Linked DNA regions of Ovis aries. The protein of the gene in region 1 interacts with the protein of each later gene in a pairwise test. Links are inferred from orthologs where the notes say so. Each region holds a gene or a part of one and is shown in the gene's direction. Other genes may lie near its edges. The genes, in order: NUP50, KPNA2 and KPNA6.

What was found.
Region 2: the proteins of NUP50 (region 1) and KPNA2 interact in binary tests that used the Homo sapiens proteins (3 or more experiments, as listed by UniProt). The two-hybrid records come from large-scale screens. The link is inferred for Ovis aries from reciprocal best matches to the Homo sapiens genes NUP50 and KPNA2.
Region 3: the proteins of NUP50 (region 1) and KPNA6 interact in binary tests that used the Homo sapiens proteins (3 or more experiments, as listed by UniProt). The two-hybrid records come from large-scale screens. The link is inferred for Ovis aries from reciprocal best matches to the Homo sapiens genes NUP50 and KPNA6.

What each region holds. Positions count from the first base shown.
Region 1 is NC_056056.1:221,477,853-221,487,757, forward strand, and holds the start of NUP50 (nuclear pore complex protein Nup50), read left to right. Parts: upstream 1-5,170; 5' UTR 5,171-5,484; intron 5,485-6,054; 5' UTR 6,055-6,137; coding exon 6,138-6,184; intron 6,185-9,150; coding exon 9,151-9,229; intron 9,230-9,905. UniProt on the Homo sapiens protein: Component of the nuclear pore complex that has a direct role in nuclear protein import. Actively displaces NLSs from importin-alpha, and facilitates disassembly of the importin-alpha:beta-cargo complex and importin recycling.
Region 2 is NC_056064.1:48,649,524-48,659,428, reverse strand, and holds the start of KPNA2 (importin subunit alpha-1), read left to right. Parts: upstream 1-2,914; 5' UTR 2,915-3,016; intron 3,017-4,622; 5' UTR 4,623-4,645; coding exon 4,646-4,720; intron 4,721-4,869; coding exon 4,870-5,007; intron 5,008-6,674; coding exon 6,675-6,763; intron 6,764-7,905; coding exon 7,906-8,174; intron 8,175-8,337; coding exon 8,338-8,432; intron 8,433-8,526; coding exon 8,527-8,790; intron 8,791-8,977; coding exon 8,978-9,211; intron 9,212-9,448; coding exon 9,449-9,631; intron 9,632-9,905.
Region 3 is NC_056055.1:235,399,385-235,409,289, reverse strand, and holds the start of KPNA6 (importin subunit alpha-7), read left to right. Parts: upstream 1-3,340; 5' UTR 3,341-3,420; coding exon of another isoform or gene 3,421-3,424; intron 3,425-9,905. UniProt on the Homo sapiens protein: Functions in nuclear protein import as an adapter protein for nuclear receptor KPNB1. Binds specifically and directly to substrates containing either a simple or bipartite NLS motif.

The sequences.
Region 1 (9,905 bases):
AGAATTAACCCAAAAAAGATGTCTTTTTCATTATAGGGGACTGGAATGCAAGAGTAGGAAGTCAAGAAATACCTGGAGTAACAGCAAATTTGGCCTTGGAGTACAGAATGAAGCAGGGCAAAGGCTAATAGTTTTGCCAAGAGAACACACTGGTCATAGCAAACACCCTTTTCCAACAATACAAGAGAAGACTCTACACATGGACATCACCAGATGGTAAATACCGAAATCAGATTGATTATATTCTTTGCAGCCGAAGATGGAGAAGCTCTAGACAGTCAGCAAAAACAAGACCGGGAGCTGACTATGGCTCAGATCATGAACTTCTTATTGCCAAATTCAGACTTAAACTGAAGAAAGTAGGAAAACCGCTAGACCATTCAGGTATGACCTAAATAAAATCTCTTACCATTATACAGTGGAAGTGACAAATAGATTCAAGGGATTAGATCTGATATACAGAGTGCCTGAAAAACTATGGATGGAGGTTCGTGACACTGTACAGGAGGCAGTGATCAAGACCATCCCCAAGAAAAAGAAATGCAAAAAGGCAAAATGGTTGTCTGAGGAGGCCTTACAAATAACTGAAAAGAAGAGAAGCTAAAGGCAAAGGAGAAAAGGAAAGATATAAGCATCTGAATGCAGAGTTCCAAAGAATAGCAAGGAGAGATAAGAAAGCCTTCCTCAGTGATCAATGCAAAGAAATAGAGGAAAACAACAGAATGGGAAAGACTAGAGATCTCTTCAAGAAAATTAGAGCTAGCAAGGCAACATGTCATGCAAAGATGGGCTCGACAAAGGACAGAAATGGTATGGACCTAACAGAAGCAGAAGATATTAAGAAGAGGTGGAAACAATACACGGAAGAACTGTACAAAAAAGATCTTCATGACCCAGATAATCACGATGGTGTGCTCACTCACCTAGAGACAGACATTCTGGAATGCAAAGTCAGGCGAGATTTAGGAAGCATCACTACGAACAAAGCTAATAGAGGTGATGAAACTCCAGTTGAGCTATTTCAAATCCTAAAAGATGATGCTGTGTAAATGCTGCACTCAATATGCCAGCAAATTTGGAAAACTCAGCAGTGGCCACAGGACTGGAAAAGGTCAGTTTTCATTCCAATCCCAAAGAAAGGTTAATGCCAAAGAATTCTCAAACTATCACACAATTGCACACATCTCACACGCTAGCAAAGTAATGCTCAAAATTCTCCAAGCCAGGCTTCAGCAGTATGTGAACCATGAACTTCCAGATGTTCAAGCTGGATTTAGAAAAGGCAGAGGAACCAGAGATCAAATTGCCAACATCCGCTGGATCATTGAAAAAGCGAGTTCCATAAAAACATCTATTTCTGCTTTATTGACTATGCCAAAGCCTTTGACTGTGTGGATCACAATAAACTGTGGAAAATTCTGAAAGAGATGGGAATACCAAATCACCTGACCTCCCTCTTGAGAAATCTGTATGCAGGTAAGGAAGCAACAGTTAGAACTGGACATGGAACAACAGACTGGTTCCAAATAGGGAAAGGAGTACATCAAGGCTGTATATTGTTACCCTGCTTATTTAACATATACGCAGAGTACATATGAGAAATGCTGGACTGGATGAAGCACAAGCTGGAATTGAGATTGCCGGGAGAAATATCAATAACCTCAGATATGCAGATGACACCACCTTTATGGAAGAAAGTAAAGAACCAAAGAGCTCCTTGGTGATAGAGAGTGAAAAAGTTGGCTTAAAACTCAACATTCAGAAAACTAAGATCATGACATGTGGTCATCACTTCATGGCAAATAGATGAGGAAACAGTGGAAACAGTGAGACTTTGTTGTTTGGAGCTCCAAAATCACTGCAGGTGGTGACTGCAGCCATGAAAGTAAGACGCTTGCTCCTTGCAAGAAAAGTTGACCAACCTAGACAGCATATTAAAAAGCAGAGATATTTCTTTGCCAACAAAGGTCCGTCTAGTCCAGGCTATGGTTTTTCCAGTAGTCATGTATGGATGTGAGACTTGGACTATAAAGAAAGCTGAGCACCAAGGAATTGATGTTTTTGAACTGTGGTGTTGAAGACTCTTGAGAGTCCCTTGGACAGCAAGGAGATCCAACCAGTCCATCATTGGAAGGACTGATGCTGAAGCTGAAACTCCATACTTTGGCCACCTGATGTGAAGAACTGACTCATTGGAAAAGATCCTGATGCTGGGAAAGACTGAAGGCAGGAGGAGAAGGGGATGACAGAGGATAAGATGGTTGGATGGCATCATCAACTCAATGGACGAGTTTGAGTGAAGTCTGGTAGCTGGTGATGGACGGGGAAGCCTGGTGTGCTGCAGTCCATGGGGTCACAGAGTCAGACACGACTGAGCAACTGAACTGAACGTGTAATCCTTGTATCTAGATAAGCAGTCTTTACACACCAGTCCATGAATAGGCTTTCAGGAATGGTTCATAAACATCCTGAAATTATATGCAGATTGGTTCCCTACATGATGATGTTCTTGCGTGCTCAATGTGCAACTCTTTGCAACCTTATGGACTGTAGCCTGCCAGGCTCCTCGGTTCCTCGGATTTTTCCAGACAAGTATACTGGAGTGGGTTGCCATTTCCTTCTCCAAGGGATCTTTCCAACCCAGGGACAGAGTCCACATCTCCAGCATTGCAGGTGAATTCTTTACTGCTGAGCCACTAGGGACGACATAGATCAAGATGTGGTGTACACACACACACACACACACACACACACACACACACCATGGAGTATTACTCAGCCATAAAAAGGAACGGATGCCATGTGCAGCAACATGGATGGACCTAGAAATTATCCTACTGAGGTAAGCCAGCTAAAGACAAATATGATATTGCTTATATACGGAATCTAAAAAAGTGATACAAATTAACTTCTTACAAAACAGAAATAGACTCACAGACATAGGAAACAAACCAGGGTTAGGAAGGGGAGATGTGGGGGTGGGGCATAAATTAGGAGTTTGTGATTAACATATACACAGCACTGCTATACACAAAATAACCAACTAAGGACTTACTGTATAGCACAGGGAACTATGCATACATTTAAAAAGCATTCTTGATAGATTACATAAAAGGACAATTTTTTTAAAAGCATTTATTGATCTGATTGCTCCCAGAGGTGGAAATACTCTACAACTCAGAAATCATATTAGTGTTTAGTACCAGAAACTGTAAGAAAACACTTCAATTCAAACCCAACATTTCTACAGCTTTGCTTTCTTCACGGCTCTATTCTTCAAGACTTCCTCAGTGGCCGCCAAGAACGTTCCCACCTCTTGATTCTGCGTGAACGCATGCTAACTTTCTTTGCGCTTTCAAGTGTGGACTAAAACATATAGCCACACCCTGAAAGCAGACAGTTATTTTATTTGGTGGGATGTTTCGGACTCCCAGCCCAGGAGACAGCATCTCAATAGCTCTCAGACAACTGCTCCCAAGAGGCAGGAGGGAAAGTCAGGCTATACACAAGTTTGCAACAAAAGGAGCAGGCAAGTCTGAACATCAAAGACCAGGTATCACTGAATTCACTCCCTTCATAAGCACCTCAGCCATCTGGAACCAATCCTGTTTCCTCATTCACTTTGTTTCTTATACTTCTTGTTTATTAATAACGCAGGAGATGTTTTCATTTCACACATTTCGTGTCCAACTCTCTGCGATTCCCCTAGAATTCTCCAGGCCAGAATACTGGAGTGGGTAGCCTTTCCCTTCTCCAGAGGATGTTCCCAACCCAGGGATGGAAGCCTGGTCTCCAGCACTGCAGGCAGATTCTTTAAAAGCTGAGTCACCAGGAAAGGCCAAGAATAGTGGAGTGAGTAGCCTATCCCTTCTCTAGGGGATCTTCCCAACTCCAGAATCCAACTGGGGTCTCCCTCATTGCAGGCAGATTCTTTGCCAGCTGAGCTACCAAGGAAGCCGGTATTTCACACAAGTAAATCATAAACCCTGCCTGGAGGAAAAAATAAGGTTAAGAACCATGGTTCATAAGAACGTTCCTTTTCTGAAGCAATTTTTGCTGACTAGTAACGGATCTAATTCCCATAGCGACCTATTAACTGTAAGGCAAGGAGCGTTTAAATTGCTTTGTACAAATTTATTCATTCTCTCACAGCTCTGTTTGGAGAAGGTAATGGCAACCCACTCCACTATTCTCGCTTGGAGAATCCCAGGGACAGAGGAGCTTGGTGCGCTGTCGTCTCTGGGGTCTGTTGGTAAAGTATCCGCCTGCAACGCAGGAGACCCATTTCGATTTCTGGACTCTATCGTCCATGGGGTCGCAAAGAGTTGGATACGACTGAGCGACTTTCACTTCATTACTGTACATGGTACCGCACTACTCAGGCAAAAGCATACGAATACACCTCTTGACCCTGGACAGTCGTATCTGTCCCACAGTTTAAAAAAACGCGTTTGCAGACGTCATCTTCGTTGATACCGACTAGCGGTGCAAAACGGCAAGTCCCTTCGCCTCTATGGCACCCACCGCGGAAAGGAAATACAAGCTGGCCGCGGAACAGAGGACGTCCGCTTCTCTCGTCCACGCCCGCGACCTTCCCTCCCGGGCTCCGCGAGTCCCAGACCTTCCGAGCATCCGCGGCCGGCGCGACGCAGGCACGTGGGGCAGCTCTCGTCCACGGCTGAGGCACCGAGCTCCCGAAGTGACGCTACCCGAGTTCACTCAAGCCTCCGGGGGACACGACCGCTCCCTTCTCCGAGCTCCAGCATCCCACCCGCACACCACGAGCGCCCGCCACGCGCCCCTACAGCCTCCGCTCTCCCACGCGCCTCCGGAACCCCGGCCGCGCCCACAACCAGCAGCCAACCGCGCGCGACCGCCTCCAACGCGGACGGCGCCCACACGCGGCCGACGCGCACAAGCCCCGCCCCCCGGGGCGGACTTCCTGCCGGAGCCAGAGCGTGGGTTGTGCGCTTGCGCGCGCGCATGCGAAAGACGGGGAACGCGCCTTCGGCGACGGTTTTTTTCCAAAGCAGTTGGGCGCATGCGCTGCGAGAGGCCCGGCCGCTGCCGTGGGTAGTGCTGCCAACCGAGGCTCCGGCGCGCTTGCGCAGTAGCTGGACGCGGGCGTTTCTTTCCTCCCTTTTTTTTTTCGAATTGATCGGGAGGGCTCGATTCGAGTTACAAAATGGCGGCCTGAGGTGTGTGGGGCCCTGTTCTCTCAGCCGTCTCCTGCTGAACGGACGGCTTACCTCCCCTCACTGCTCAACGCAGAGAAACGAGAGCCCCCCAACCCCGAAGGACATGCTGTTTGAGACTCAGGGGTTGCCGATCACCGAATCCTTCGAGGCTCTCAGCACACCAGAAACGACCGCGCGCCGCTTCAGACCCGAGTGCCGCGGCCGCCACCTCGCACCTGCTCGCCGCTGCGCACCCCGGCTTCGCCGCGCCCGCAACCCAGCGAGGGCCGCCGCAGCCACCGGAGAGGTGAGGGGCGGGCCGACTGGGCGGCACGGAAGGGGCGGGCGCCGGGTCTAAGAGAAGGAAGCCGGGCTCCGGGTGCCGGACCCGGGCCTGAAACGAGGAGCCCGAGGAGGGTGGAGCGCGGTGCGGGGCGCCGGCTGGGGACGCGGCGCTCGAGGGAGCGGAGGAGGGTGGGGCGCGGTGTCGGCCGCGACGCACCCCGGCGGGGTGTTTGTGAGGCCGGGCTCGGGGCCGGCCTGTCGGGGCTGCGGTGTCCGACTTGGGGACGGCCGGGCCCGGGCGCGGGGCCCCTGCGGCCCCGGCGGAGGCGGGAGCCGGAGAGGCGAGGGGCCGTCCTGGCTCGGTGTGTTCCCTCGCGCTTCTTTCCGGTGCTCGTCTCGCTGCGCTCCTTCCACCACCCTCCTCCTGTACTGCAGCCACAGGCCCCTGATCACTTGACTCCGTTCGATTAAGAAGCAATGTTCGAGGATTCCGTTTTCCCCGAGCGTTTCAGTCTCCGGGGGCCGGCCCCAGGTTCCATTTTTCCTCCGGGGATCACGGTGTCAAGTATGTTCCAATCTGTTCCCGTCTTAGAGTAGACCGACGTGGACCGAAGTCACCCCAAGGTGGGGCAGCCCGCGGTGGCAGAGATCACAGAATTCCCTGAGCAGGCACGCATGAAGTTTCCCCAGTTACCGAAAGTTTTCGATTTTCCTGTCCCGAGGTATGCCTCATACCCAGTAATCATGTCATGATTTGGTGCCTCCTAAACCACAAGCCCACATTTTTTTTTTTTTACGTTCTTAGATCTTAACACTGAAAGACTGGAGGTGCCAGGCTTTGTTCTAAGTACGTTACCGGCACTTTTCCCCTTTTTCAAAGAAATGTGATTGTCTGAAGTACCATGCTTTGAAATAAAACATGGATTTGGTAAAGTCTTGTTTAGAGCCCGGTTCATAATTCAAGTTAATTTTGTTTTTCCACACTGCAACCTTCAAGTTAGGGAGGGAAGGTATTTTAGAGCCTTTGTTTCTGACAGAGCTTTTCTCTTTGAAAAGATATATTGAGTCCTACCTCGGTTCCAGCCACTCCTCTAAGCTAAGCTTTTTGTTTATAAATTTCACAGCACCTCCCTGTTGTGAAGTAAAGAAATGGAGGCACAAAAATGAAATAATTTGCCCAAGGTCTTCAACAACACCATGGCAAAACTGGATGCTAACATTTTGTAGTTTTCTCAATTTTGCAGTGTCCCAGATCTCTGATTCTAGATCGTCTATTGTGGAGGGGGGCGGGTTTTGAGGTACCTGAGTGAGTGAAACAAAGATACCTGCCCTCTGGTTATTCTTTGATTTGATAAAAATGGAGATTGGATAAATATGGAATAGGAAATGAATTGGCTGTGTTAATTTAGGTTCTTTGACTATGCCGGTTGTCTTCAGTTGTGGCTATGGGTTAGGTGTTAATAGTTTTAACACTTAAAAGTTTTTGCACTTTCAGCTCCACTCCTTTTTGCCTGTTAATAACTAGTTAGGTTATCAAGTTAATAGCAAAAATAGACTATTTAAGTTTCTCCCCTCTTCTGCCCTCTGGTGGAGGTGTTAGTTACTGAATGGGAAAATGGCCCGAAAGAACCCACACAGAGGCCTGGCCTCTGAACAGTTAAAGTTTACTAAGAATTTATGCGGAAGGGTACCTTGTTTGTTTTCTGGATGACAAGATTAATAGCAAAACTTGACCGAGTGTTTGGAATGGAGGCATTAAAAAAGATTTGCAAGTAATGACAAAATTATGTTAATTCTCACGTTTTAGAATCTGGGACTTTAAAGCCATTTATTCTGTAATCAGAAAAAAAGCACTTGGTAAAAGAAAAATTCAGAGATTATTAGGAGATTATTAAAAGCTGAAAATTGCTATGTGATTATCCTACCAGGGGATAGGATTTTGGAGGACTTTGGAATGCTTGCATTTGAATTTTATGTTACAGATCATACTGTGCCCCATGGGTGATGTGTCAGTTTGTATCTTAATGACCAGGAGCTTCTAGGAACTTCTCTGGTGGGTTGTGGTCTTGAGGGCAAATAAGAGTGGGGAAGGACTAGGAAGGAAGCTAGGCTGGTTTTCAAGAACCCTGGCTAGTGTTCCAGGCTAATCAGTAAATCTCTGGGCAAGGTAAGGAGTTTTTTGGCCCATTTAATTGATGTTAGGGAAGAGCCAAGCACAACACTCACAGTGGAGCTCTCCATTGATTGTTTCAGATTTTAATAGCAACAGATACACATCTTAGGATCAGAAAATAAACTGGAAATTTTAAGGTGTGAATACATGGAGTCGGACACAGCTTAGCGACTAAACAACAACAAGCCTTGAATAGAAGTTGAGCTGATGGCTTCTTATTCTTTTTTGGGGATTTTTTTGTTTGTTTTAAATTTATTTTTTAATTGGATGCCAATTGCTTTACAATGTTATGTTGGTTTCTGCTGCTGGTGGCTTGTTAGTGAAGAATTAAGAATTCTAAGAATGTTAACACAGTCATGTTAATCATATTTTGAACTGTCCTCAACATATGTTGGGATTATGTCACAATAAACCCATGGTAAGTTGAAAGTACTGTAAGTCGATCAAACCTACTGAAGATCATAGCCCAGCCTACCTTAAAAGTGCTCAGACATTAGCCTACTGTTGGGCAGAATCAACTGACACAAAGACTGTTTTATAGTAATGTTGAGTATCTCATAATTTTTTGAATACTATACTGAAAATGAAAATCAGAATAGTTATATGGGTACAGAATGGTTGTAAGTATATCCGTGGTGTGGTGGCTTGGCTAGCTGGCTGGGAGCTGTGGCTTGTTGCCACTGCCCAGGATCACAGGAAAATATCATACCTTATGTTGCTGGCCTGAGAAAAAGTCAAAATCTAAAGGAAGGTTTCTACCTAACGAGTGTTGCTTTTCCACTATCATAAACTTGAAAACTTGCAAGATGAACCCTTGAAGTCAGGGACCATCTGTACTCTTGTAGTGAAAATAATAACTCATTCACATTCTTGACTAAGGTCAAACTTTACTAAATATCCTTAAGAGAATTTTAAATATTAAAAATATCTTGCCTATAGCCAGGCTGTGTATAAATGTAATTTGCATGGAGTTAATTGAGCATTTGTTGTTTATTATGCAGTTCTGTAGATTTCTGATTTTTAAAAATCAGTGTATGATCAGCATTTTTTCAAATGGAGTTGTTTTATTGTTTTTCACTGTGCCTTAGAAGACCTCGCTGCCTTCTCCTGTAATTTTTGTTGGATTTGTGACACTGGGAGCCTAACAATGTTATACCATTCTCGTTAAAGAAGTGCCTACTGGTATCAGGAATATCTCATTTCATGCTAAAGTAAATTTTAAAAATTTGTTGTAAGAGTTAAATCATGTTTTAGAAAAGCAGACTTACTACTGGGTGCGTTGGTGGCTCATTGGTAAAGAACCCGCTTGCCAGTGCAGGAGACGTGGGTTTAATCCCTAGACTGGGGAGATCCCCTAGAGAAGGAAATGGCAACCCTCTCCTGTATTCTTGCCTGGTAAATCCTAAGGACAGAGGAGACTGGCGGGCTATTGTCCAAAAGGTTGCAAAGAGTTGGACATGACTGAGCGACTTAACAACAACAAAAGCTTACTACTTCTAATCTTTTTACCTTTAGGTTCAAAAAAATGGCCAAAAGAATCGCCGAGAAGGAATTGACAGATAGGAATTGGGATCAAGAAGATGAAGCAGAAGAGGTAAAAAGTGCTTTCCCTAAGAATGATTTCCTGCTACTTCCAAATTTAAATTTGTTTTGTGATTCCTCGTGAAGACTTTGTCGTAAAAATAAAAGGCCTTTTCAAGAGCATCCTGATGTTGAAGCTGAAACTCCAGTACCTAGGCCACCTGATGCAAAGAGCTGACTCATTGGAAAAGACCCTGATGCTGGGAAAGATTGGGGGCAGGAGGAGAAGGGGACGACAGAGGATGAGATGGTTGGATGGCAACACTGACTCAATGGATATGGGTTTGGGTGGACTCCGGGAGTTGGTGACGAACAGGGAGGCCTGGTGTGCTGCGATTCATGGGGTCGCTGAGTCAGACATGCCTGAGCGTCTGAACGGAACTGAACTGGAAATAATACGGTTTCTTATGATCTGTGCTTAGTGTAGAAATTAAAGGGTGTGCTTTTCGATTAGCGACTATTCCTTCAATACTCTACTCCTTTGTAGAATCACCTTCCTCCTGAATTTCATATAGCATTTCGTTGCGCACACTCAGCCCATGGTTTTAGTCCAGATTGAAGGCTGAGTAAATAATCTAGTTATAAAGTAAATTTGAAAAGTGTTTTACCACCAGTGTCTTAGTTTGCCATACTCACAGTTTTAGATTTTAGAAGATTGAGGTTGCCTCCCTTACTGTACTGCTTCTGGG
Region 2 (9,905 bases), on another chromosome or scaffold:
CTATTGTTTTCTTCTATTTCTTTGCACCGATCACTGAGGAAGGCTTTCTTATCTCTCCTTGCTATTCTTGTAACTCTGCATTCAAATTGGTATATCTCTCCTTTTCTCCTTTGCCTTTAGCTTCTCTTCTTTTCACAGCTATTTATAAGGCCTCCTCAAACAACCATTTTGCCTTTTCGCATTTCTTTTTCTTGGGGATGGTCTTTATCCCTGCCGTCTGTACAATGTCACGAACCTCTGTCCATAGTTCTTCAGGCACTCTATCATATCTAATCCCCTGAATCTATTTCTCACTTCCACTGTATAATCGTAAGGGATTTGATTTAGGTCATATCTGAATGGTCTAGTGGTTTTCCCTACTTTCTTCAATTTAAGTCTGAGTTTGGCAATAAGGAGTTCATGATCTGAGCCACAGTCAGCTCCTGGTCTTGTTTTTGCTGACTGTATAGAGCTTCTCCATCTTTGGCTGCAAAGAATATAATCAATCTGATTTCGGTATTGACCATGTGTAGAGCCTTCTCTTGTGTTGTTGGAAGAGGTGACACTATAAGAATTATTAATTTAAATCCCAACCCTTGAATACATGTTTTTAAGATTTTATGTGACAAAATGGGAATTATGCATAAATCACTTCTACCAGATAACCAAAATTCAGTGAGTGTCTCTTGGGGAAACATTCTGTGCAGTGTTTGAGTTATAGGCTAAACTCGTTGCCTTTTCGATGGAACACAGTTCTTACTTGAAAGAATGGCTGACAGACTATGATTATTCAGACTTGGCCACACTTGAGTTTGCCTCTCTGGTTCAGCTTCCTTCTCAGGCTCACATCATCATAGCACACAGTCCATTGGAAGAGAGGGGATATCTCACAAAAGTCTCAGTAAATATTTTACTGTATTCTGTTACATCTTCATCAGCAAAGCAATTCCTGTGTCTGGGGGATGGAATGGGATTGGTTTAGGCTACACTAGGCCCTCTCCTGAATCTCCATCCCAACTACAATAGGAAGGTTTGAGTGGGTGGGGTCTGTGTTTTCCCAGGCAAGGCATCTGTCAAAGGCAACTTTCACTGTTGACAGTTTACTTCTGTTTCAGGTTGTTCTCAGGTGCAAGTACGGAATAGTGGTCAGAGAGCATGGATCCTGGAAGGACAGGGCCTGGGTTTGAGTCCTGTCTCTGCCATTTACTCCTGTGTGCATGTGGACAAGTTACTTAACCACCCACTCTTCTCTTCCGTGAAATGGAGCAGATAATAATGCTACCTCACAGAGTTGTGAAGATTAAATGTATTCACAAAGATAAAAAACTTGGAACACTTCTGGGCACATAGTACCCAATATGTATTCGTAAGCAAAAGAAGACACACTATAACTAGCTTAAACAACAAAGGAAGTGTACTGGATGATGTATTTGCAAAGTCATATAATTGCAGCCTTTTGAAGTAAGGTAGGGTATTGATCAAAGTTTTCATGATTTCTCTCCAATTGTCTTACTGGATTTCCAGGATTCACATCTCTCAGTTGAGAACAGAGCCTGCTTTCCTACCTCTCATCATTAAACAAAAGGTATCCGGCTTCTCAACTGAATGAATTTAGGTCACATGACTGCCCCTGAACCATTCACAGTAGCCTGGAGAATACCATGTAGTGACTGGTTTAGAGGTGAAATCCCACAACCTTGTGCATTTAGGGGGGGTAAGATTATCCTGATTGGTTATGTGGAAGTAGAAGGAACCTCCATGACTCTCATTACTGTTACACAATGAGTGAGGCTGGCAAAAATGCCTGCAGGAGGGACAAAGTTCATTGTTTGAATCATAGTAAAAAAAGAAAAAGCCAATACAGCTTTTCTTAAAAATACCCTTCTCAGGATACAGAAAAGCTGCGAAAAGAAAGTGGACCATAATCCTGAGGTTCTGATGACTATCACTGAAGCTTTTTTTAAATTACAAGAAAATGCAAACATTTTATTTGAAATATATAAAATATAGCATAGATCATTACTATAACAATTGATGATCTGAACACAGAATAAATAATCGCATATAAGTTCAATTGTCTTGAATTTGATGATTATGGTGTGGTAATATAACAGAATGTCCTTATTCTTACAACATACAAGCTGAAATATTTAGGGGTAAACGGACAAGATTTCTCAAACTTACTCTCAAATGGTTCAAAAAGTAATATGTAAAAGCCATGTATATATAAATAGAGGTACACGTGCATGTGTGTATACATATATATATACATACACATCAAAATAGTAAATTAACATTTAACAAATATGGATAAAGATTTGCAGTTCTTTTGTATTTCAAATTATTAAAAATAAGACTGGAGAAGCAGGCATTAATAAAGCTTTTGTTAACATAGTTCTGCCTTCTATGCAGTCTTTTATGACACAAGTTAAAAACAGTAACTAACAAATGCAGCACATATCTGCCTTATCCCTCCCCTGCTTGATGTCCAGAGACCCCGGCAAAGTTCTTTCTGAGTCCCATCGGGAAAAATGCATAGCAATATATTTCTTTATTAAGATTTTTAAAGAGAATTATTTTGGGAATCATTTGTGGTACTTAGTTAAGGCAAACACTCAGGAAAACGACCAGCCACCACACCGCGGTAAACCCATGCAAAGAGCTGACCCTCCGACCAAGATGGACAGGGAACCGGCCCTGCGCGCTGCATGCCGGGATCTGGAGTTTTTCTTCTCCGCACTGCAAGGCTCTCAGGGATCGCGCGGCCGCTCCCTTATCTCGCGATGCTATCCTATCTACTTCTGGGCCCTCTGACCCCTCCCCAGCTAACGTGTTTTTCAAATCCACCAATGGGCGTATAGCGTAAGCTCGAACCAGCCAATCGGAATGCGGAGCCACCGGGAAATTTAAATCGCGCCGGCCGGCTGCACGAGCCACACCGTCCTCGGGCTGACCGTGGTAGACGTTTGGAGGCAGTAGATCCCGCAGCTTGTGCGCCGCGCACAGCCTCCGGTGGACGCTTGAGCTTGCTGTGTAGGTAACGAACTGAGGTCGCAGTGCAGGTGGAGCGACAAAGGCTGGTCCTTAGGCCGCTCTTGGATTGCTGGAGGCGGGAGGGGAGTCCCGGGGTAGACGCCCGGCCAGGCTTCGGCCTCTCTGGTCGATGAGGCCTTGGGGGCGTAGTTCGTTGACGAAACGGGTGTTTCACTGTGGATGCGAGTGCATGGGCTTTAGTGCCCGAGGCCTTGCGAACCGCTGCAATCGCCTTTGAGTAAGAATTATTAGAGTCAGGCCCGAGAACGAAAGCCTCGGTAGGGGGCCCGACGCCTCTGGCTCCTCCTCCGCGGGTTCCCGCTGCTGCTTCCCCGAAATGGGGGTGGGGAAGGGGGTAGGGGAGGGGACTGCAGATGGAGGTGGCAGTTGGAAGTGCTATCTCTTAATTTGTAGGCCCTGGGTTGGCTGTGTCACGATTTCGTAAAAGAACAGAATGGAATTAAAGATAGCCACTTTGAAGGAGGACTTTTGTGATTTTTTTGGGAGATTGCTCTTAAGTAGGTGAGTTTGAGTGGAACGCAGCTGATAGAGCCTAATTTAGTGCATTCACTCAGAATTTCTGGAAATGAAAACGTGCGAGATGCTGAACTGCGTCGCAGGTGTTCAGGGTGGGCAGGAAATTTTATGAAAGTTTACATAATGTTAACGACGAATCAGATTTTTAAATATTTTCAAACGTGCAGAATGTATCTGTTTGGGCCGTTTAAAGCCAGTAGAGCCTCGGAGAAGGCAATGGCACCCCACTTCAGTACTCCTGCCTGGAAAATACCATGGACGGAGTAGCCTGGTGGGCTGCAGTCCATGGGGTCGCTGAGAGTCGGACATGACTGGGCGACTTCACTTTCACTTTCATGCATTGGAGAAGGAAATGGCAACCCACTCCAGTGTTCTTGCCTGGAGAATCGCAGGGACGGGGGAGCCTGGTGGGCTGCCGTCTATGGGGTCGCACAGAATCGGACACGACTGAAGCGACCTAGCAGCAGCAGCAGAGCCTCCAGATCTGAATTTGTGGCCCGTACGACATAGATTTTAACTGTAACCTTATATCCCGTACGTTGTCTTCAGTTAACTATTCATGGATCCTATATAGAGTCTAGAGCCATGCTGTGCAGTGTGATAGTCACCAAAGGCGTGTGGCTAGTCTAAACTGAGTTAATGCTGTAAGCTTAAAGTACCTGCAAGATCTCGAAGAATTAGTATGAAAAAAGAATGCAAAATAGTTCAGTAATTTTTTTGATGTAATGTGTTGAAGTGAGAAAATAGATATTGGAGTAAATAAAATATATTATTGAAGTTAATTTCATTTGTTCCTTTTTGCTTTTAACAATCGTGGCTACTAGGAAGCTTAAATTTATACAGCTTGCATTATATTTCTGATGGACAGCACTGCTCCTGGAAGCCTCAGCCCTTCAGAGGGGAGGGGCCAAATATAATTTGGCCAAAACTCATGTTCCATAGTGCTGAAAAAGGAAGTTCCTCCTCTAGTATGGAAATACGGATTGAACGTGTATTTGATAATTCCCTTAATGCTATGTTATTGCCAAACAAAGTGATAAAAAGGAAATTTTTTTCTCTCCCCTATCTTGCAGCTTTCTCCCTTTGTCTCATAATCATGTCCACCAATGAGAATGCTAATTCACCAGCTCCCCGCCTTCACAGATTCAAGAACAAGGGGAAAGACAGTACAGTGAGTACCTTCTGTTGTTTTTCTAGTATTTTTTAAATGGTAAGGTATTTGGAAAGAGCGTCCACACTTTGAGTGAATTTAAAAAGTTGTCTTCACTTGGCACCTAACACTGATGTAATAGGTGAGATGATACGTTATCTTTTCTCAAGGAAATGAGGCGGCGCCGAATAGAAGTGAATGTGGAGCTAAGGAAAGCTAAGAAGGATGACCAGATGCTGAAAAGGAGAAATGTCAGCTCTTTTCCTGATGATGCTACTTCTCCACTGCAGGAAAACCGCAACAACCAGGTGAGGATATTTTAGTTTATGAGTTATGGTAAACCCAGAAAATCAATATGAGGCCTTTCTGAGATATTTAAATAACATGTCTTAGCTTTGTGGGTTTTAACTATCAAATGTGAAGATCTGTCTTTGTGTGCTCCTGTTCAGTAATTCTGATGGATTATCTTCCCCCCGCCCATCCTCTGTAATCTGTGGAAGCTGATTCCAAGGTTGTCTTTAGCTCTGATCTCCCCTTCAAGTTTCCCTGCTTTTCCAGTTGCCAGCTTTTACTTTGAGTTGGCCATTCAAGTGTTCAGTGAAAGTATGTCCAGAACCAACTTTTTTTTTTTCCTGCCTTTTTTTTTCTTTCTCTCCCTTTCCCTTCCTCCCTCCCTCTCTTTTTTTTGTAGTTGTCACCAGCTTTTTTCAGGTCTTTTTCCTCAGCTGTCTCTTGATTTTCTTTCTGTGCCACTTACTGTTTACCTAAAAGTTTTCTTAAAATACTGCTTAAAACATCTTAGAAATTTTATGATTCTAAATCCTTTTTAAAAGGTTTTTTGGAAATTAGACCCATCCTAGAGTTCTACTCATGGAGACTTCGTGATTTTATCAGAAGTCAGGGAAAGTTGCTCAGTTGTGTCCAACTCTTTGCGACCGCATGGACGATACAGTCCATGGAAGCCAGAATACTCTAGTGGGTAGTCATGCTCTTCTCCGGGGATCTTCCCAACCCAGGGATTGAACCCAGGTCGCCCATATTGCAGCTGGATTCTTTACCAGCTGAGCCACCAGGGAAACCCCATCCTACATTTTTAAATTTATCTTTCATCTTTTAAAAATATTGGGCAGTTTCCTGCTTTTTCCCCCCACATTATGCTTTCCTTCAGTTCTCCTCATTTTATCAGTGTTCTCCCCCCCCCCCCCCCCCCCCCGCCCCCCTGAATTCGACCTGTGTTGTGTTTTTCAAGTTTTATACTCAAATCTCATCTTCTCTTTGTAGCACTTCTAGGTCATCCTAACAGGAAAAATGCTTCCTTCCCAGAATTCCTACAGCACCCCATTCTGCACCACAAATGAAGAGTAAATTCTGTATAATGCTATATACAGTGTTTTATATATATAATCATTTGTTCTGTGGTGTTTAGATTTTACATTGTCCTTGTTGTAAGGTTTTAGGGAGAATGTGATACTGTCTTTTTGAGTTAACTGTAGCTTGGTTCGCAAATGCTGCAGTTAACTCCAATATGTAGTTACTACCTATAATGTTTATGTGTGCATAAATACCACATAAACCGGAGGGGAAATGCATGGATAACAACTTTAGCTTTTCAGATTCCCAGCACATTGCCTCTAACTCTGTCCCTTTTCCCCTAAAAGCATATCTGAATACAAGTGATTGAGACTAATGTAAGAATAACCTTCGCAGTGCTCTAGTTCATTTTTTTTAACCTATTCACAGCTACTTTTCTTAGTGACTAGATGCTGGGATACTCCATCACTTAAGATATCATTTGGTCATGACACCTAATTTGAGGATTGTTCTATATATTAAATATTGAATATTTAACAGGCGAATTTAAATGTGGGACTAAACTTTAGTAACTGATTATAAACAGAAATGTCTTCGTGTTGGGATTGCATTGTATTTAATCTTAAAAATGATAATTTGAAAATTAATTTCCCTGTTCTTGTAGGGCACTGTAAATTGGTCTGTTGATGATATTGTCAAAGGCATAAATAGCAACAATTTGGAAAGCCAGCTCCAAGCTACTCAAGCTGCTAGGTAAGTCTTGTCTTCTGTAGCATGAGTAAACTAAGAAATCAGCCTTTTTACATTTTTTGGTGGGAAAGCAATGGCAGGTGGTGCAGAGTAAAGGTTAAGCCAGGCCTAGGCCAATTTTCATTATAATCTTTCCTAATCTAAAATTTTCTGTAGTTGCCTCAAATTACATCTACCTCCAGTGATAACTTTAGTGTACTTCAGAAATGTTTTCTTGTCACTGGCATTTCAAGTCAATGTCAGGGAAAGGAGGAATTATTCAGTAACTGGGATTACCACATTGATTTAGAATGGTTCATCCATTTAGGAAATAAATATATTCTATTTATTAGACTCTTCCCACCCACCATACACAGCTATCTGTGACATCCATAATATAAGGATTGATGATCTCTGTAGCCTCACAGTGTGGGGAAAAGCAGGTCCAATTGGCAGAAGATCAGGGGAAACGTGTGTGTCCCCACCACTGGCCAGAGTAATGCGGATTAATGGACTGTGATGGTATCGTATGTCAAAGTTTTTAAAAAGTGGTAAGATCTGGAGTAGATTTCTGCAGAGAGAAGGGTTCTGCGTCATTGGTAATATTTCAGTTTTGGGAAAAGTAGTTTACGACACTACCCCACCATGCAAACAGTCTGTCTGCTCAGCTCCTCTTAAATTCCAGGATATGTCAGCATTTAGTCTTCACTGTAAAAGGTTACTTAAAGTTCTAAACTCTTGGATTAAGATGCATTTTATTTTATTTTATTTTATTTTTTTAATTTTTATTTTTACTTAATTTTACTTTACAATACTGTATTGGTTTTGCCATACATTGACATGAATCCGCCACGGACGTACATGAGTTCCCAATCCTGAACCCCCCTCCCACCTCCTACCCCATATCATCTCTCTGGATCATCCCCGTGTAAGATGCATTTTATTTATTTATTTTTTTCTACTTTTATTGGTTTTGCCATACATTGACATGAATCCACCACAGCTGTACTCATGCAAGATGCATTTTAAATTGTGTTTTTTATATGAACTTGTTTGGTCTCGAGTTGGCGTTTTAAATTGTGTTTTTGTTTTTATTTTTTTCCTCTGGTATGAACCTGTTTGGTTAATCACCTTCAACTTTTGTTTCTCTTTTTGCTTACCCATAGGAAACTGCTTTCTAGGGAAAAACAGCCCCCTATTGACAACATAATCCGGGCTGGTTTGATTCCAAAATTTGTGTCCTTCTTGGGAAGAACTGATTGTAGTCCCATTCAGTTCGAATCTGCCTGGGCCCTCACTAACATTGCTTCTGGGACTTCAGAACAGACCAAGGCTGTGGTGGACGGAGGTGCTATCCCAGCATTCATTTCTCTGTTGGCATCTCCCCATGCTCACATCAGTGAACAAGCTGTATGGGCTCTGGGAAACATTGCAGGTACTTGGATTTGAAATTGGCTGAATGTCTCCAGTCATACTGAGGTTGGCATACGTGTCTTAGTGTGTTTGTTGCGTCAAGACATTGGTGTACTCTGTAACGGAAATTAATGGCACTAGACAGGTGGTAGTGGTTGACTCAGCCGCCTTCTTTTTTTTTTAAGGTGATGGTTCCGTTTTCCGAGACCTGGTTATCAAGTATGGTGCAGTTGATCCGCTCTTGGCACTTCTGGCTGTGCCTGATATGTCGTCTCTAGCAGTAAGTTACTTAGCATAAGTCACGTTTCTCACTGATTCTCATTTTCCTACCCCCCTTAAAAAACCACTTCATTGCGTGTTTCTTTTCCCCCCAGTGTGGTTACTTACGTAATCTTACCTGGACGCTTTCAAATCTTTGCCGCAACAAGAATCCTGCACCCCCCTTAGAGGCTATTGAGCAGATTCTTCCTACTTTAGTTCGTCTCCTGCATCACGATGATCCGGAAGTATTAGCTGACACCTGCTGGGCTATTTCCTACCTTACTGATGGTCCAAATGAACGGATTGAAATGGTTGTGAAAACTGGGGTTGTACCCCAACTTGTGAAGCTTTTAGGAGCTACTGAATTGCCAATTGTGGTAAGTTGATTTTCAAATGAGAGTATAAAGTATAAGGAGCACAATTAGTTGGTACTAATATTGACATATTATATATTTTAGGCCATAATGAGCCTCTTACCTGTCAAAACTTTTAGGGTGTAGAGATTTTGAGTAGTGCTGGAATAGATAAAAGATAACTGCCAGCGTCAACTTTTTTTCCTTTCAGACTCCTGCGCTCAGAGCCATAGGAAATATTGTCACTGGGACAGATGAACAAACACAGGTTGTAATAGATGCGGGAGCACTTGCCGTGTTTCCCAGCCTGCTGACAAACTCCAAAACTAATATTCAGAAGGAAGCTACATGGACAATGTCAAACATCACAGCTGGCCGCCAGGACCAGATACAACAAGTTGTGAATCATGGATTAGTCCCATTCCTTGTTGGCCTTCTCTCAAAGGTACTGTAGCCTTAGGACTTAAATGGGCAGGCACTTGGTAGAGTTGTATTTCTTAAGATTCTTAACATACTAATGCTGGGTTCTGTTTAACAGTCCTTTGCTAAATAATAGTAGCCTTTTTACTTTAGCTTGGATAGAACCAATTGAAAGTCTTAATCACTTTCTTCTAAAACAGTAGTTTTGGAATCTTATTTTTATGACCATTCTAAAATAAACCTGTTTCTTTATGTTAATTAGGCAGACTTTAAGACACAAAAGGAAGCCGCATGGGCTGTGAACAATTATACAAGTGGCGGAACTGTTGAGCAGATCGTGTACCTTGTTCACTGCGGCATAATAGAGCCGTTGATGAACCTCCTAACTGCAAAAGATACCAAAATTGTTCTGGTTATTCTGGATGCCGTTTCAAATATCTTTCGGGTAAGGCTTAACAAGACAGCATTTGTTTGAATTTGGACTCGATAATTGGTTTACTATTTAGATGACAAGTGAGGGGCAGCTAAGTTTACTCAGTTCACCGCAGAATCAGAAAACCTGTTTCTGTGGGCCACACTCTGGATAAATGATGTGGCAGAGGATTATGAGAGAGAAAAAGGAGATGACAAATGCATGATGTGACCTGAATTGAGGCCAGGTACGTAGATGATATGCTGTTCATACACATTTATTTTGTCAAGCATTAATTCCCCTAATT
Region 3 (9,905 bases), on another chromosome or scaffold:
AAAACAAAAACAAAAAAAATCCACCAGAGCTTTGTATTTTTGTTACATACTGTTTCTTTCTTTGATAATTGATGTGATTATGAGGAAAAAATTCCTATTTTTATACTCCCAATAAGCCTGTGTCTTGTATTTCTTTCCCCTCTTGCCTGTCAGGCAGCAAGCAGAGGTGTGGGATTCTGGGCCAGCAAGCCCCACGTGTGCAGCCTTCTCCAGTGGAGAAAGGATGAGGAAACACCAGAGATCAAGGTAGCAGCGGTAGCTGCTGTATGCCAGAGGCTGCCCTCCATGTAGTACAGGGCTGTCCTTAATCCCATTTTTATGACAACCCTAGGAGGTAGGTGCTGTCACTCCTATAGAAGAAAAACACAAGCTTAGGGAGCTACAGTGACTTGCCCAAGGTAACACAGCTAGGAAGTAGTGGAGCTGGGCCCCAAAACCCTCTGAAAGATGACACTGCTATCCTGATGTGATGTCCTGATTCTCAGCACACAGTCACTGAGACCCTGCTCCGTGCCAGGTACCACGGTAGATGGTGAAGATGCCAAGACACAGAAACAAACATGTCAATACACGCAGGTGATTATAACAGTTACAAGGTACAGAATGGCTCATGGGAGAGAACACTGAATGCTCTCTGGGCTTCTTGGAGGAGGGGTCAGTCTGAGTTGTATCAGCCACTTCACAGGGGGACAAGAGGAGGAAAAGGTGCTTCAAGCAGAGCAGTAGCAAAGAGATTTGGAACATTCTGGTGTATCCAGGGAGGGTAAGCAGAATGTGGTTCCTAGAACAGGAAAGATAAGGAAAGTGGGGCAGAGGTGGATTGGAGCTGGAAAGGTCTGCAGGGACTGGATCAGGGAGGCTCAATGGCTGTAGGCTAGGGAGATCAAGGCAGTCAATCCTAAAGGAAATCAGCCATGAATATTCATTAGGACTGAAGCTGATGCTGCAATACTTTGGCCACTTGATACAAAGAGCCAACTAATTGGAAAAGACCCTGATGCTGGGAAAGATTGAAGGCAGCAGAAGAAGGGGGTGATAGGATGAGATGGTTAGATGGTATCACTGACTCAATGGTCATGAATCTGAGCAAACTTGGAGACAGCGAAGGACGGGGAAAGCCGGCGTGCTACAGTCCATGGGGTCCCAAAGAGTCGGATAAGACTTAGGAACTGAACAACAAGGGAGGGGATGTGAGCAAGGCCAAGGGCAAGAATGGAAATGAAGCTGCTTGGAAGCCCTCCTGGCTCCGTGGACCACAGGATGGAGGGCTCAGGGGTTGGCAGGAGAAGAGACACAGTTATAGACACTCATCTAGTCTGAGCATGTCCCCTGAGTCCTTGTTCTGCCACAAGTTATACTGGCGCTCCCTTGGTGGTGCATAGAAGACAGACACTGCAGCAAATGTTTTTGGTGCTTTTGTTGAGTCAGGCATTGTGCCAGGCACTGGGACAGAGACAGAGATGAGGAAGATACAGTCTCTTCCATAGACAACCAGGAGAGAGAGACACCTCGTGAACAACTTAGGGTGCCAAGTGCTGAGGAAAATGTGTGTCCAGGGCAAGAGGGAGCAGAGAGGACATAGGCTGACCCTGTCTGAAAATGCAGGGACGTGGGCTCGATCCCTGGTCGGGGAAGATGCCACGTGCCTTGGAGCAACTAAGCCCGTGGCCCTTGAGCTGGTGCTCCAAAACAGGAGAAGCCATTCCAATGATAAGCCCACGCACCATAACAAAGAGTAGCCCCTGCTTGTCATAACCAAAGCCGACACCCAGCAAGGAAGACCCAGCACAGCCAAAAATAAACAAAAATACTTTTTAAAAAGCGTATGGAAAGGCACAAAAGAAGATAGGAGCATACATGGGAAAATGTGGTTTCCCAAATATGGATGGAGCCTGGATTGCCTGGTGGGGAGTTGCCCAAGAAGCCAGTAAGGACCAGCCTAACATGATAAGGTCTTTGCTTTTAAAGAGATGGGGGCAGGGAGTCGGTGCAGAGAATTCCCTGGTGGTCCAGTAGCTAAGACTCTCAGCTCCCAATGAAGGGGGCCTGGGTTCGATCCCTGGTCAGGGAACTAGATTCCGCATACAACTAAAGATCCCAAGTGCCACAACTAAGACTCACCATAGCCAAATGGAGCAAGTGGGAGAACCTGGACACAGGAGACCAGTGTGGAGACAGGTAAAACAGACCAGCAGAGAACAAAGGGGTCTGACCTTGAGCAGTGGCAGTAGGAAGAGGAAGAGAAGGTTCCCTTTCCTGACCCCGAATCCTAGAACTGGCGTTTTGAGTTGCTTCCGTCAATGGGCTGGGTACACAATTAGAGATGGCAATTTATTGTGACAGGACCTCGGCTCCCAAAAGATAGTTCTTCTTGGGATCCATGACAAAGACATAGCCTTCCTCTGTGTGTTGAGATGGGGAATAGGCGGACCGGAATGCAATTATGTAAAAAGGGAGGTCTAATGTGCACCAGCTATAAATTTCACGATTCAAAAGGCACATAAGGAACTTCCCTGGTGGTTCAGTGGTTAAGATTACAGGCTCCCCACTACAGGGGATGAGGGCTCGATCCCTGGTCAGGGAACTAAGATCCCACATGCCACAGGGTGCAGCCAACAACAACAGCAAAAGACACTTGAACCTCAGAGTCTCAATTTTCTCATCTCAAAATAAGGAGATCATATTCCTTGTTTTGTGTAACTCACAGATCTGTTCATTCATCTGTTTATTCATTTAATAAATATTTATGGAGCACATACACTATCCCATATACTGTGCTAGGTGCTGAAGAGCAGTAATAAAGGGTATAGAACCGACCCTCTGCCCTCAGAGAGCTTGCAGTAGGGATAAATGAAGCGCTCTGTCAACTATAAAGCCTGGCACCAGTGTCATTTTTCTACTTATCTCTCAATAGGATTGTAATCAGGTTTACTTTAGATTTCTTCATTTCCTTATCTCTATATCCTTGGGCAAGTCACTTTACCTTGCCGGATAACTCCTTATTCATATCCAGTCCAGGGTCTATGCGTGGTTTTAACTATTAATACAAAAGGAAGGAATGCCTTTTTGGAAGAAAAAGTTTCCAGGGGAGGACAACTCACTACAAACAGGAATAGTAGAAGAAGCTGAGAAATCTTAAGCAGCTTAACTTTATTTAGTAGGTGTCCCTCCCAGTTTTCCTCCACCCACTGCTTTCATATCTCATCCCAGTTCCCCGCCTCTAGCAGCTGCGGTCTCTTTAAACGAGCTCGTCTGTGTGAACTAGAGGCTGGGGCCGAAAGCGCGTTTCTTCCCGGTATTGAATGTTAAGTTGTTTGTCCATTCCGGGCTGCCGTCCTGCAGATCCGCCATATTGTCTGCTGAAGCTGCGGCTGAGGCTGCCGCCGCTACCGCCGCCAAGTAGAAGCGAGCGGAGCCGCGATGGGTGAGTAAGGAAACCAGGCAATTGGGGATTCGGGCTGAGACAGTCTCGGAGCTTGGAGTCTGGCGAGAGCCTATCTCCAGGCTGTAGAGGATGTCTGAATCTCCTCCAAATAGATTTGAGGGGAAAAGCCAGGCCGGGAGCGCCGCTCAGGCCAGTTTGGGGCCGGGTTAGGGCCCATGCGGGGAGCAGTCTTTGGGGGTTGGTTCCGGGAATACCTTGTCACTTCTGGAACCCCCACGTGGTGGCCCTGGGCCGGATCGCACGCGTTCCCGGAGGCTAGAAAGGGGCCGACCTTCTGGTCTGTGCCGGGCCTGGGCTTGGGGGCCGGGCTCCGGGTGGCAGGCCCGAACGACGCTGAGGGAGCCCTCTCCAGGCGTGTGTCTGACCGACGTGCCTATTAACTGGATTCACTGACTCCCCTGAACTTAGGGAAATCCTGCCTACGTCTGAGAGAGAAAGTCCTCTGGCGAAGGTACGCCAGGCGATCCGGCTCTAGGCCTGATAACCAGGGGCAGCCATGCCAAAAGCAGCTTGGGCCGCTGAAGGCCTGGAGAACTTCCCGAGCCGAGGCGGAAATGGGGTGGTTCGGCTGGGTTCAGAGTGACAGCCCTCATAGTGGTAGAAAAACAATGCCAATACCTCGTAGTCATGTATAGGTCGGGGACTTTAGGTTTCTAGGCCTGGCCCTGATTAGCAGAAAAGGAGCGACCTGTTGCTCTTATTAAAGGGACTCCAATCAGCAAAGGCAATGCTCAGAGAGATTACGATGGCGAAGTCTTTGGACTTAGGGACAGACCCACCAGTGGTACTTCTTCTCCAGCAATAAAAGCTGTTAAATTTGCTAAGCTCTTCCTGTTGTGCAGGCATTGTTCTGATTGCTTTACATGTCACGTTTTATTTAATTTGCACCATCTATTGAGATAATACTGTTATCCCAGATAAGGAAACTGAGGCTTAGGGAGGTAAAGTAACTTAGGCAAGGTCACACAGTAAGTGGCTTAAACCAGGTGGATCGCTCCAGAGCTCTAGTTTATAGCTGCTTTTTTTTGTGGCCTGGCCCTCTAGTGGTTGGGCTGGAAAAGAGGGAAAGAAAGCTTTTAATCCTAGGCAAGAGTTGTAAAGGTGTTTTGTTTTTGTTTGCTACTGGGCCTGCTTTGAAATCTTTAATCTGAAAGAAACTGAACAACTCCAAGGTGAATTGCTAACCCCAACTATTATGGGTGTTTTGGGGGAGGGGAGCTAAATGAGATTCTAAGATTGAGTTTTGTAAGATCCCTGATCCTGAGGAAACATAAATTATTCCCTTGAGCTGAACAACAATGAGTTTAGAATCAGATCTGGTACTATAATCCTGCCTACTACTTCCTAGCTCTCATCCAGAGAAGTCACTTAAGTGTCAAATGCAGTAATGCATATGGAAAACATCTAGCACAGTTCAAAATAAATGTTATTTTCCTTCCTTTCTGAGCCTTCCTTTCCTCTTCTCTAGAGAGGGGGAGGGGACAGTGTTACCCAGGTGTTTAAGAATTAAATGAGATTCCACATTGTCTGGAGACTAGTAGGGCTTCCCCAGTGGCTTACCCCAGTAGATGAAGAATCTGCCTGCAGTGCAGGAAGCACAGGAGACCTGGGTTCAATCCCTGGGTCAGGAAGATCTGGAGAAGGAAATAGCACCCCACTGCAGTATTCTTACCTGGAAATCCCATGGACAGAGAAGCCTGGTAGGTTACAGTCCATGGGGCCACAAAGGGTTGGACAAGACTGAGCACACAGGCACAAGAGCTCTACAAATATCAAAACAGATTCTTTTTCACCTTCTGTGTCTGTTCCTTTCTTTTAAGCACTCTAGTTTCCAGAATCCTTCATTAAGGCTGATAGGCCTGTTATTTGCAGTTACAAATAACTGCAACTTCATGAATGAATGAAAAATCTTAGGGACTTTTTTATGTTATAGATTTTGTGTTGGCCTTCAGTTTCAGCAACATTGCTGCCTCAACAGGGAAGGAGCTAATATTTAGTTTATTAAGCCCAGTGAAGTAAATTTGGCCATGATTTACTCAATTTTTACAGATTGGGAAACCACTTCAGAGAATAGAACACACTAGTTACAGCAAATCCAGAAGTGAGATTCTTACCCATTTTGCTGCAGAGAAACCTCTAAGTAGAATCACGTTAGTCCTTTTCTGATACACTTTGAAATGGAAGTTCTTCAATAGAGCAGCAAAACCTGACCAGGGTCCTGAAGGGGACTTTTAGTCTAAAGTCAAGTAGCTTCCCCTTTTTCTCTGCAACCCCACTTCAGGCCCCTCCCCCCACCCCATCCCACCTTGCACTTTGTCTTTCTGAATACTTAGCTGTTGGTGGTGATGTTTTGTGTGGGTTTTGTGGATTATTGTTTTGTTATGTGTGGGTTGGTTGTTTTTGTTTTCTGATCCTTATACCACAGAGTGAAATGCATCCTTACATTTAATCCTAACATCAAATTCAAGATGGTTTTGTGTGCGTGCTCAGTCACTTCAGTTGTGTCTGACTCTTTGCAATCTTATGGACTGTAGCCCTGCCTGGCTTCTCTGTCCATGGGGATTCTCCAGGCACAAATACTGGAGTAGGTCGCCATGCCCTGTTCCAGGGGATCTTTCAGATGCAGGAATCAAACCTGCATCTCTTAATGTTTCCTGCATTGGCAGGCAGGTTCTTACCACTAGCACCACCTGGGAAGGTGGTTTTGGTTATCCTCAGGATTCATGTCAATGTATGGCAAAACCAATACAGTATTGTAAAGTAAAATAAAGTAAAAACAAAAATTTTAAAAAAAAAGAGTAAACAGGCTTTGAGAAGATTTGGTGTTTAGTCCAAGGCTGGTGATCTAAGCCCTAGGGCTGGGGACACTAACACAGCCAGCCTCACACCTCCATGTCTAGACCCTGCCGTACTTCACTGCCTGACCAGCATACTCTCCTCAGGCTATGGCCTATACTATACTGTTTCTTCTGTGCCAGACTTCACTAGCCTTAACAGACCTTTGTCGTTATTTCATTGCTATTAGGAGTTTTGTAGGGGTGATGCTTGCAGCTCTGGAAGTTATTTGTTTTAACCCTCCTTAGCAGAGACCGCAGACTCTCAAGACTAAGTCTCGGCAGACATTGATTGTTTTTATCAGGTTCCTACCATCCTGCTTCCCCAGTGGTGCAGAAGTTAAAGCGTCTGCCTACAATGTGGGAGACCTGGGTTCAATCCCTGGGTCGGGAAGATCCCCTGGAGAAGAAAATGACAACCCACTCCAGTATTCTTGCCTGGAGAATCCCATGGACGGAGGAGCTTGGTGGGCTACAGTCCACGGATTGCAAAGAGTCGGACACGACTGAGCGACTTCACTTTCACTTTCACCATCCTGCTAACCAGGAATCTGGCAGCACCTTCCCAGCCCCGGGATGATTGATATAGCCCACTAGTCTTGATTGATATAAACTCTAAATCAATCATAATTCTATCTCTCTAGACAGTGATTGATTTAGGCATAGGCAGGTGATACAGATTTTGGCTGATTAGATGTGAAGGGAAGCCTGGAGGACTTCTGAAAAAGCCTTTCTTATTTGCCAAATTTTATTCCTTTTTGCCAGTTTATATTTTAACCCAGGTATCTCACCAAAGTTTGAGAACTTAAAAAGAAATGGGAAAGCTATAGTAATAGTCATTACTTGTATAGAACTTTCTATATGCTAGGCACTAAGTACTGTAATACTAGTTCATTTATTTCTCAGATTCTCATTCTAGTTGAGAAAACTGAAGCACAAAGAGGTTCAATAACTAATGCAAGGTCAGAGCTAGTAAACAGAAGAATCACTTCCTCAGGCAGTATGGTTCTAACCAAAATATGGGCTATTAAGGACTGTGTTCTGCCTCTGGAAAGAAAGGAGCCCTTTTCTGACTCTTGAAATTGCCATTCGCAATGCTGGGAATTCATGAGGCAGAATTTATAAATAAAGGGTCCAGACGGAAAGAATCTGATCTCTTTGTGATGTTTTGGAACTGTCACTGCCATTGGCCTGTAGGATACTGAAGGTTGCCTCTAGTTTGCAAAACCTTTCTAATAACCCCTGCAGGTCAGGAAGTAATCTAGAACATTCCTTCCAGCCTTGCCTCCCCACCCACCCCATAGTTCCTAATAACAACAGAGAAGGCGCTAAACTAAGTGTTCCCCAGCCTCAGACTCACTCCCGCGTGGGGTCCCTTTCCTGCATTTTTTGTTAATGGTCAGACCATTGGTCTAGACACTAGGGCATAAGAGAAATCTTACCCTTGGTAAGACTGGTTCCTTACTCTTTTCTGCCTTTCCTATATTGGCAGTTGTTGGATACTATGATCCTCTTACTGATGTCCTCCGTCATCCCTAAATTGTTTTGTGTACGTTTTTCTCAGAGCATAGTCCCAAAAAGACGATTAATTCTGTGGTCGTTAAACTTGCTGAGTCTCAAGCTCCTTGATGTGAAAATATAATAATACTGTTAATGTTGTTAATGAAGTGTCAGTGAAGTATCAATACTAGATGTTAGAAAATACTGTAGGTTGTAAAGGTGTCATTATTTCAGAAACTTTCTAAATCTCTTCTGTAACCTGTACCACAACCACTTCTGCTGCAGCAGTATTGCTAAAACCATCAGATCTTGTCACCCTACTCCTTAATTTAGGAACGTTCATGGACTCCTTATTGTCTGCAGGATAAAATCATAACTCATAGGGTGTGGTATTGAAGGCCTTCCTACTGACTCCATTTAATATTTATCCACATATGCTTCATTCCACTCAGGCGACCTCCTAGGTGTGTATTTCAGCTTTCCTGGTAGAGAAAGTGACAAAAGCAATCCCTTCCCCGCCCGTCTTTTCCTATGGAAATCTTGCCCCTTTTACAAGATCTGGTTTAAAGGCTACCTCCCTCAGGGACCTTTCCAAAATATGTACCTTATGCCTTTCAAACTGGAAGTGAACTATTCTTGTGAATTCTGTAGCACTTTGTTCTTGCCTTTCATATAGTCCTTTTCATGTTTTATCTTGTGTTATAGCTGTTTCATTCTGTAATTCCATTAGAACTTTAGCCAGTTGCTTAATCTCCAGAGCTTTATTTTCTTCATCTCTTAAAATAGGGATGATGATAATATCTGCCTCATAGGAGTGTTAAGGTGATTAAATGAGCAAATGCTTGTAAAGCATTTTAGCATGGTGTTTAGCACACCATGAGTACTCAGTAAATGATAACTAATTGCTGTTAGTCACTTCATTAGTACTTAAGAGAGTAATCAATTTGTCTTTTAGGGGAAGGCAGAAATATATTTAAGATTTACTTACTTATGTTTGTTTTTGGCTATGGTGGGTCTTTGTTGCTGCATGTAGGCTTTTCTCTGATTGTGGGGAGTTGGGGCTGCTCCTCCTTGTGTGCGGGCTGTATTAGTTGTGGTCCGTGGGCTTAGTCGCTCCATGGCTTGTAGAATCTTCCCAAACCAGGGATCGAACCAGTGTCCCTCTCGTTACAAGGTGGGTTCTTAACCACTGGACCACCAGGGAAGCCCAGAAAGCAAAAATACTATAAACACTTGTCGGAAACACGATGAGACAGGCGACAGTTATTCATCATTAATTTCAGCAAATGTTTCTTGAATGCCTACTGTGTGTCAGCTACTGTTCTAGGCCCTGGACATATAGCAGTGAATGAAACAGACAAAAGTATACTTTTCTAATGAAATCCTAGAATTTAAATTCTAATGGGTAATTGAGTAAAATTAACCAGATGGAAACTGACAGGCCAACTAGAGTCCCATGAGATCTGATTGATGAGTTCCAGCCAGTTGTTGCCATTACAGAATGTAGGTCTAATGTTGCCTTATTGCATAACTTCCCAGGCCTTTCCACAATCCCTTTCCCCAGAAGTTGGAAATCTGAATTTTCACATGATTTCTTATGGATTAAACATTTTTAGATGTTGCAAGCTAATTTTTAAAATCTAAAAACATCTTGGAAATTCCCTGGTGGTCCAGTGGTTAGGACTCTGAGCTTGCACTGAAAGGGGTATGAGTTCGATCCCTGATTGGTGAACTTAGATTCTGCAAGCCACTGATGCAGCCAGTAAATAAACAGATAAATCTGAGAATATCTACTTCAATATAAATAAACGAATAAATAAATAAATGTTGTTAAGAAACAGAATCTAAAAACATTAAGCTAACCAAAAATAGAAGAATATTTGAGGCCACATATAGCCCCCAAACTGCCTGTCTTATTGATAAGTTTTGCCTTCGTTAATATTCTATATATTTTATAAACTGTCTCAAGTAATTTATGTATTTTACCAGATTCTATGTATTTAAAAAATATTTTCGAGCGGTCCACTAGCTAGAACTCGGCACTTACACTGCAGTAGCCCAGGTTCAATCCCTTAGGAAACTAAGATCCCGCATGCTGTGTTACCAAAAATAAATAATCTTTAAGA